Linked DNA regions of Oryzias latipes. The protein of the gene in region 1 purifies or fractionates together with the protein of each later gene. This does not show direct contact. Links are inferred from orthologs where the notes say so. Each region holds a gene or a part of one and is shown in the gene's direction. Other genes may lie near its edges.

What was found. Proteins that work in one complex are often made in the same cells at the same time.
Region 2: the proteins of itsn1 (region 1) and eps15 purify together in Homo sapiens (co-immunoprecipitation; 3 studies listed by BioGRID and IntAct, with this or other methods). This does not show direct contact. The link is inferred for Oryzias latipes from reciprocal best matches to the Homo sapiens genes ITSN1 and EPS15.

Annotation. Positions count from the first base shown.
Region 1 is NC_019873.2:531,712-535,364, forward strand, and holds the start of itsn1 (intersectin-1), read left to right. Parts: upstream 1-765; 5' UTR 766-950; intron 951-3,653. UniProt on the Homo sapiens protein: Adapter protein that provides a link between the endocytic membrane traffic and the actin assembly machinery. Acts as a guanine nucleotide exchange factor (GEF) for CDC42, and thereby stimulates actin nucleation mediated by WASL and the ARP2/3 complex.
Region 2 is NC_019862.2:31,360,477-31,364,128, reverse strand, and holds part of eps15 (epidermal growth factor receptor substrate 15), read left to right. Parts: intron 1-670; coding exon 671-833; intron 834-940; coding exon 941-985; intron 986-1,080; coding exon 1,081-1,469; intron 1,470-1,899; coding exon 1,900-1,969; intron 1,970-2,041; coding exon 2,042-2,112; intron 2,113-3,268; coding exon 3,269-3,404; intron 3,405-3,477; coding exon 3,478-3,652. UniProt on the Homo sapiens protein: Involved in cell growth regulation. May be involved in the regulation of mitogenic signals and control of cell proliferation. Involved in the internalization of ligand-inducible receptors of the receptor tyrosine kinase (RTK) type, in particular EGFR.

The DNA of each region.
Region 1 (3,653 bases):
GAATGCATGTTTAGTCCAGGAAAACTGCTGTAAAAGTTTTTGCAGGTATGTGTGAATGCAATAGTTAGAACGTGGAAGCACAAAACCCAGGGTTACATGTGTTTTCATAGACTTTAGATTGGAAGTGGCTGCTTGAATGCCTGTTGCCAAGGGTTGAGTGACCGTGTTAGAGTTTATATAATTTGTATGCAAAAACAACACTACCAAAATTGAAACAAACAAAAAATGTTCTTTCAAACTGTCTAGATATTTATTTAAGAATAAAAATCTACTTGTTCATTTTCTTTCTATTCTTCTGGCAAATTATAATTTATATTTTGTGCTGAGCTTGCAGTGCTTTGTGTTGTTTCACTTTTAAAGTGTGTGCAAGGAAAAAACAGAAAATGTTTTCAGTTAAAATAAAACTTTAAATGATTGTTTTTTTTTTATTTTATAGCAAATTTTTTTTTACAATTAATCTGGAGTAAATCAATAAATCATAATCATAAAATAAAAACAAATGGATAAATACAAATCTTTACACTAATAATTACTTTTGTAAATAATTATATACTGTCGTTTATAATAAACTAAGGAAAGCAGCAAAACAACCTAAAGAGCTGCTTGGGAGCCGAAAGAGTCGCCTCTTTCTAGCGAACTGAGCCAAAAGAGCCGGTTCTTTATTGCTATCCTGAAGACAGCATCAAACAGAGGCGTTCACTGTGCTGTAATCAGTTTATCTCCACTACCGCGATGTTTTACATCCATAGTCCATCAAATCTCGCGAGATCCATCTGGCCTTAACCCATTTTCCAGTTGTCGCTGTGTCTGTTGGTATCCCGATCCACTAGGAGTCACAAAAAGGATTTTCAAGACGAGCTGCCGCCGTTTTGGATAATATACCATTTTCAGTCGGCTATATGAACACGGAATGAGTACATTTATCCTGTGAATGACAATGAAACTATGAGGTAAGAGAAGTGAAAGACCGAGCGGATTTAGTAGCTGACGTTAGCTCAAGACTGGTTAGCTCGTCTTACTAGCTGTCCGGGAAGGGCAGGTTTGGGTCATTTCAAAAAGATTTATTGAGTAAAAGCGAGATGTGACTTTTGTGCTCTCTGAAACAGTAATGTCTTTGAGCGTGTGGCCGTTAAGGAGCCAGCGGAAAGTGGACGATGGTACATTTTAATAATCCGTCTCTTGGAGTTAGCCTGCTGAACGCTATAAATCACAGCCTCGGGACTCCATAGGTAAGATGACGCTCACGTCCACCCTCCGTAGTCACTCGCACTCGGGTGGTCTTGAGGCGGAAAGGAGATTGATGGACTGGGCTAGCCATAGCGCGATACAGACCGGAAGGGCCCCCTGGCGTGGAGTGTTTCTGCTAATCCTAGCATGTGTAAGTGTTGGTTAAGCTAGCCGGTGCTCCTCTCACCATCTCTTTACGTGCTACAGTGCTCGGGCTTTTTCTGAGGTCATTCTGGGAGGACAAGAGGCCCCTTGTCATCCGGAAATCCAGCTGAAACTTTCAGGAAGTGAGATTCATCTTTCCTGTTCCTGTAAAGACAGCAGCTCCTCATTTCGTAACTCATAAAGATCAGTGATGGCCGGTTACCATGGTTACATAGATGCTGACCAGTTCTGATGTATTTAGGATTGCAGAGAAGACCTATCCTCACAGATGTTAAATTTTCTTCTTTTTTTTGTCAGATGTAAAGGAGTACAACGCTGGATTTTTGCAGAAAATGTCCAGCTAGAATAGATAAGATAAGATAAGATAAGATAAGATAAGATAAGATAAGATAAGATAGGACTTTATTGATTCCTGAAGGGAAATTTAGTTACAGCTGCCAAACAAGAAATATAAGAGTTGGGAAAACAAATAGCAAGAGAAAAAGACAAAAGTAGTGGTGAAAAATGGTGGTAAAAGTACACGTCATAAATAAATAAGTAAATACAGCAGCAATTTAAGCAGTCCTATACCATGTTATTGTACAGTCTACTGCTGTTGGGACAAAGGATGTTTGTCTGTTGTTGTGAATTCGGGGTATACAAATAAAATTGAATTGAATTGAAAAGGATCTCCTGTATTGTTCCTTTTTGCACTGAGGTTGCAGCAGTCTGCGGCTGAATGAGCTACTCATGGTCCTCACCGTCTCATACAGAGGGTGAGAGGGGTTGTTCTGGATGCTGGGCAGCTTGGGCAGCATCCTCCTCTCACCTACAGAGTTCACTGAGTCCAGGGGACACCCAGGGACAGAGTTAGCCTTCTCGATCAGCTTGTCCAGTTTCTTCTTGTCCCTGTCTGTAATTCCACCACTCCAGCAGACCACTGCTTAGAAAGTTGCTGATGCAACCACAGTTTAAAAGAAGGTCCTGAGTAGTGGCCTACACACACCAAAGGACCTCAGTCATGGGGGGCCATCAGTTTATCTCCCTTTCTGCCCATTACCAGCCAATGATGCAGAGGTATTCCTTGCAGCATGAGATGGTGCTTTGTCATGCAAGAAGAGGATTCTGTTACAGAACGCAAGGTGACTCTAACACCTCCTTGCTGGCGTTGCAGCCTTGTTGGGACATGGTGGCCATCCACCCACTACTTCATCCATCTGGACCATCCAGGGTTGTATGTCATCATCAGTAAACAAGACTGTTTGAAAATAAGTCTTCACGTATGTCTGGACCAACTGCAGCTGTTTCTGCTTGCGAGTGTTGTTTAGGGGAGGGGCAAATAGAAGGTTCACGTCAGGGGTGGGCAAACTACGTTCCGCGGCCTGGATCCGGCCCGCCTCCATGTTTGGTCCGGCCCACTGAACAATATCAGAGACCCATGTTTTTTATTTTTATCTGGCAACACGATCAAGACGTGACATTTTCTTCCCTCCTTCTGCAGTCTGTGCTCCAACCTGAAATCCTCTCTGAATCTCCGTCAAACAGAACAGAAGACAGTCTTCCCTTTCTACGTCACAGTTCATCTTTCCCGGTATAATGGTGTTTTAGCAGCTCTCCTAATCAGATGTATTTGTCTGGCAGAAACCTTTCTCATTCTGCCTTTATCTCCATCAACCTGTGTGTATGGAGTTCAGTCTCAATAATCAGAAATGCACACAAACTGTTTCACAAATACAAACGCTCTGATTAACAAATAAACATTTATGCAAACATTTAATATAAATTCACAAATCCATGTGAAGCGTTTCACAAAACACACAAACTGTTCCACAAACATAAATTTGAGGAACAATTGTAATATAAACTCACAGATCATACGATTTACAGAATGTGCATTTACAAATCACCTCTCATTTGTGAATCTCTATTTGTGAGAGAAATGCATATGGTGAATATTGAAACTCATCTAATGTGCCTGGTCAAAAAATGTCATCATTGGCTAATGAATCTGTCAATCAAATTCATCAGCCAACCAGGCGTTTTCACTTTCAGCCAATCATATGAATCTGTGTATCATTCCTTCATCTGTTTTTCAAACTAAAACCAACAATGAAAAAAACAAAAAGACTGCTTTTTAACTGTTGGGGGGAAAACAGATAAACTATTAATGGATTGTATTTTTATTTTCACATGTATATGGAATTTTTTTACAGTCACCTGGAATTTGTTTTTGTGGATGTGTGAACTGGATCAAGGGTGGCAAAGCTAAGTGAGTTTGGTTA
Region 2 (3,652 bases), on another chromosome or scaffold:
AAAAAAAAAAAAAAATTTTTGGGAGATCGCCACGGTAACACCACTCAACATCTGCAAATGTTTAATTATCGAGTTTCCCAAAGATATTTAAGGAGTTGAGAGGTTCTAGATCAAAATCCTTGGGAGGAGTTTAAATTTAAAAATTATTTTAAAGCTGGTGACCTCTAACGAGGTCAGAGGTCAACGAAACTGAAATTTCATGAAGATAATTGAAACAAAAAGTTTCTTTTCCTGCATTGTGTGAAAATGTTACAATAGCCAAATTTCGTGGTTTGGCAGAAAATGGTAGGTGCTGTGGCCATCCCATAATAATTTCAAACCTACCTTTGTATTTCGCAGACATCTCTTTGGGTTTCTTTTGTGGATTATACATTTTTTGAGCCCCGTTAGGGATTTCGGCCCCCGTTCATTTATTTTATGGTTTTTCCTGCTTTCATTTCATTTTTCTTTTTCTTGGGGGGGGGGTTGTTCACTTTGCCCAAAATGCTTTTTCACCGGGTTATCTGTCTGTGCAAATGAGTTTCTGAGCGTGAACCTTTCCCTTAAATGTGCAGCAGGAAGGAGGAATGGCGGCAAAAGTGTAACCTTTTATCTAGAGAAGGTCGTCTCCACTTGGAGCGTAAACATCTGTCAGCGCCGCGCGCTAACGCTTGTCCTGGGACCCCAACAGGTGGAGTCTCCAGAGCCGGAGAGCAGAGACGACCCGTCAGAGTCTGCAGAGACGGCCGCCTCCTCTTTGCCCCCTCAGGTCGTCCCTCGCTCCTTACCGCCACAGACCAGCCCCCCATCCCTGCCCGAAATGGACTTTTTCCATTCCGACCCGTTTACCGACCGTAAGTGCTGGACGGGTTCTGTTCTGACCGAGCTGATGAAGGTCCAAGCTCCTATGTTTGACAGTCTGATGAAAATATGTCGATGACGTTATTGTTTTTCCTCGCAGACGATCCCTTTAAAGATGATCCCTTCGGAAAATCGGGCGGAGCTGGTGAATTCTTTGATTGACATTGATGTTTATGATAAAAACAGACCCTTTGATGTCAGAGGGGAACTTATCTCCTTTACCTTTTCTGTTTGGGGCAGATCCGTTTGAGGGAGATCCGTTTAAAGGTACAGACCCTTTCGCCGTGGACTCCTTCTTCGCGCAGACCTCCGAAGTCGCCTTCTCCACGGAGGACCCCTTCTCCGCTCCGGCCGACCCGTTCGGTACGACTCCCGGCATACCAGAACCGGACCTGTTTGCGTCCAAGCTGAATGACGCGGCTTCAGGACAAGCGGCGGACCCCTTCGTCTCCAAGGACTCCAATCCTCCTCTAGCGCCCAAAGATCCGTTCAGCTCCGCTCAGAACCAGGGGAACGCCGCCGATCCGTTCAAGGCGAGCCCTGTGGAGGGCGAGACGGACCCGTTTGCCTCTCAGGACGGAGGATCAGACCCGTTCAGCAGTTCTCCACCCAGCTCTGAGCTGACAGTGGTGAGTGGGTCGGCTTTGGTTCCTGATCTGATCCAAATCTGGCCCTTAGATCCCAAACACTGCTTTAAAATACGTAATCTTGTTTTGAAAAACCTTTAAAAGGTTCAAAATTAAACAGCTGAATGTTTAATAATTCATTTTAAATAAAAAACTTTAGGTTCCTTAAAGTCTAAGAGGAAAACATTGTTTTAAATTTGACTTTTTTGTTCTGATTGAAATGAAAAATGAAATCAATTAAACGAAAAAAATCTGATTCTTTAAGTAAAATAATATCAAGACTTAACTTTTAATGTTGAAATACTGCATATAAATGTAGGAGATTAAATAAGTTCTAGTGTTCAATTCTTAATTTTTTGTTTTACTTCATCAGCCCTTAAAAAATAAAATAAAGTTGAATCTTTGCCTTGTTTTGTTTTCCTTCCTTTTATAGAAGCCCCCCTCCCTCAACAACGACCCCTTTGCTCCAGGTGGTACTAAAGGAAACGCCTCCTCAGATCCAGGTATTTCCACAGACGCAGCGCCCCCTTCTGGCAGCACCTGGAACTAATCAGAATCTTTTGCTCTTCTTTCAGATCCCTTTGCTGCCGTGTTTGGTAACGAATCGTTTGGAGAAGGCTTTGCGGATTTTAGTGCCTTGACTAAGGTAAATGGTCGTTTGTTAAAACCTTAAAGTATTTGGACTCTGGCAGAAAGATCCGTTTGTTGTTCTGATTCCAGCAGGAGATTTGAAAGTATGAACATTTACACCCTGTTGGAAAAAAACTCCCACAGTTTTGTTGGAATTGGTTTGAATTTCGGGTGGAGGTAAATTTCTGATGCACTGTGTTGGTGTGTGAAGGAGTATGAGGTACTCTGTTACTCCAGAGTATTCTGATTACTGCTGCCGAGTATGGTTGGATGTTTTTTAGATTTGATCTTTTCCTGCTGCTTCAAAAAGAGCGCAGGGATTCAAGGATTCAAAGGGTTTATTGTCATATTTTTCCTGGTTCAATCAGATGCTTCCTTTGCTGTTCACTCTGAATGCCTTAAGGTTAAAGGTCAAATAAAAGATGGGGCAAGACACTTTGTTTCAACAGCCGACAGTCTTTCTTTTACGCGTCACTCCCTCCACCAGGTCACTGAATCAGAAACTTTTGTTTAGTGCAGCAAAGGTTAAGCATTGTGCCTGAAGCTCCGCCCACCCACGCAGCCTCACCTGTTCTCAGATAAGCCCGCCCACAATCGCTTGGAAGTTGCAATGAACGGCTAGAACTGAGTAGAATTCAACCACTGACATCCCCGTGTTTCTACCATCCCGGTGGTACCGTACGCTGGGTTCTAGCCCCCCCCCTGAATGAAACGGTGATGCAGGTGAAGGTACAGGTGAAGGGATTGTGGACGTCGTACCTGAAGGAGCTCAGGCATCGACTCTTTACCCGGACTGCGTGAGAGTGGCGTCCGTAGAAAATGCTTTTGCTTCCCGCTTAAAGTCAATTCAGTCGCCGTTTATTCCCAATTCGGACACCTACGACAAATCTGTCAGAGGTTTTGAACTTTTGACATGGCTCCGCCTACTTTTATTGAAACATCTGATTGGTCCGTTTATGACATAAATAACTTGAATTACAGAAAAAGGGATGAAGAAGATGGTTCTTCTGACCAACAGAATGAAAGAGTAACAGCTGTTTATCTAAGGAAGTCTGTGGGATTTTAACTTGTTGAAGCCTACTTCCTGTTTGGAACGCCAGGGGGAGGGGCCACTCAGTCCAGTTCTCCCATACAGTCAATGAGCTCCGGTGTTCTGAATGTCTCCGTTTCAGTCAAACGGACCCGACCAGTTTGGCATCAACAACAAGAACCTTTTCCAGGACGAAACCCCGCCTGCAAGTGCCGACGTGCCGCCAGCTCTGCCCCCCAAAACCGGTACACCCACGAGACCTCCCCCTCCCCCCCCAGGTCAGTACCCGTAGGCGCTACGCCTCGGCTGTCTGTCGTAACGCTCAAGCCTGTCTGTGCCCCCCCCCGGCAGGTAAGAGATCGTCTGTCTCTAGAACCGAGTCCTCCGACTCCTCCTTCCAGCGAAGAGCGCCGTTCCTCCCACAGACCGCCGGGGACTCCTCCTCCTCCTCCTCCTCCTCCTCCTCCTCCTCCCTGCCTGTCAAGGACCCTTTAGCCGACCCCTTCGCCCCCTCCTCCCCTCCTCG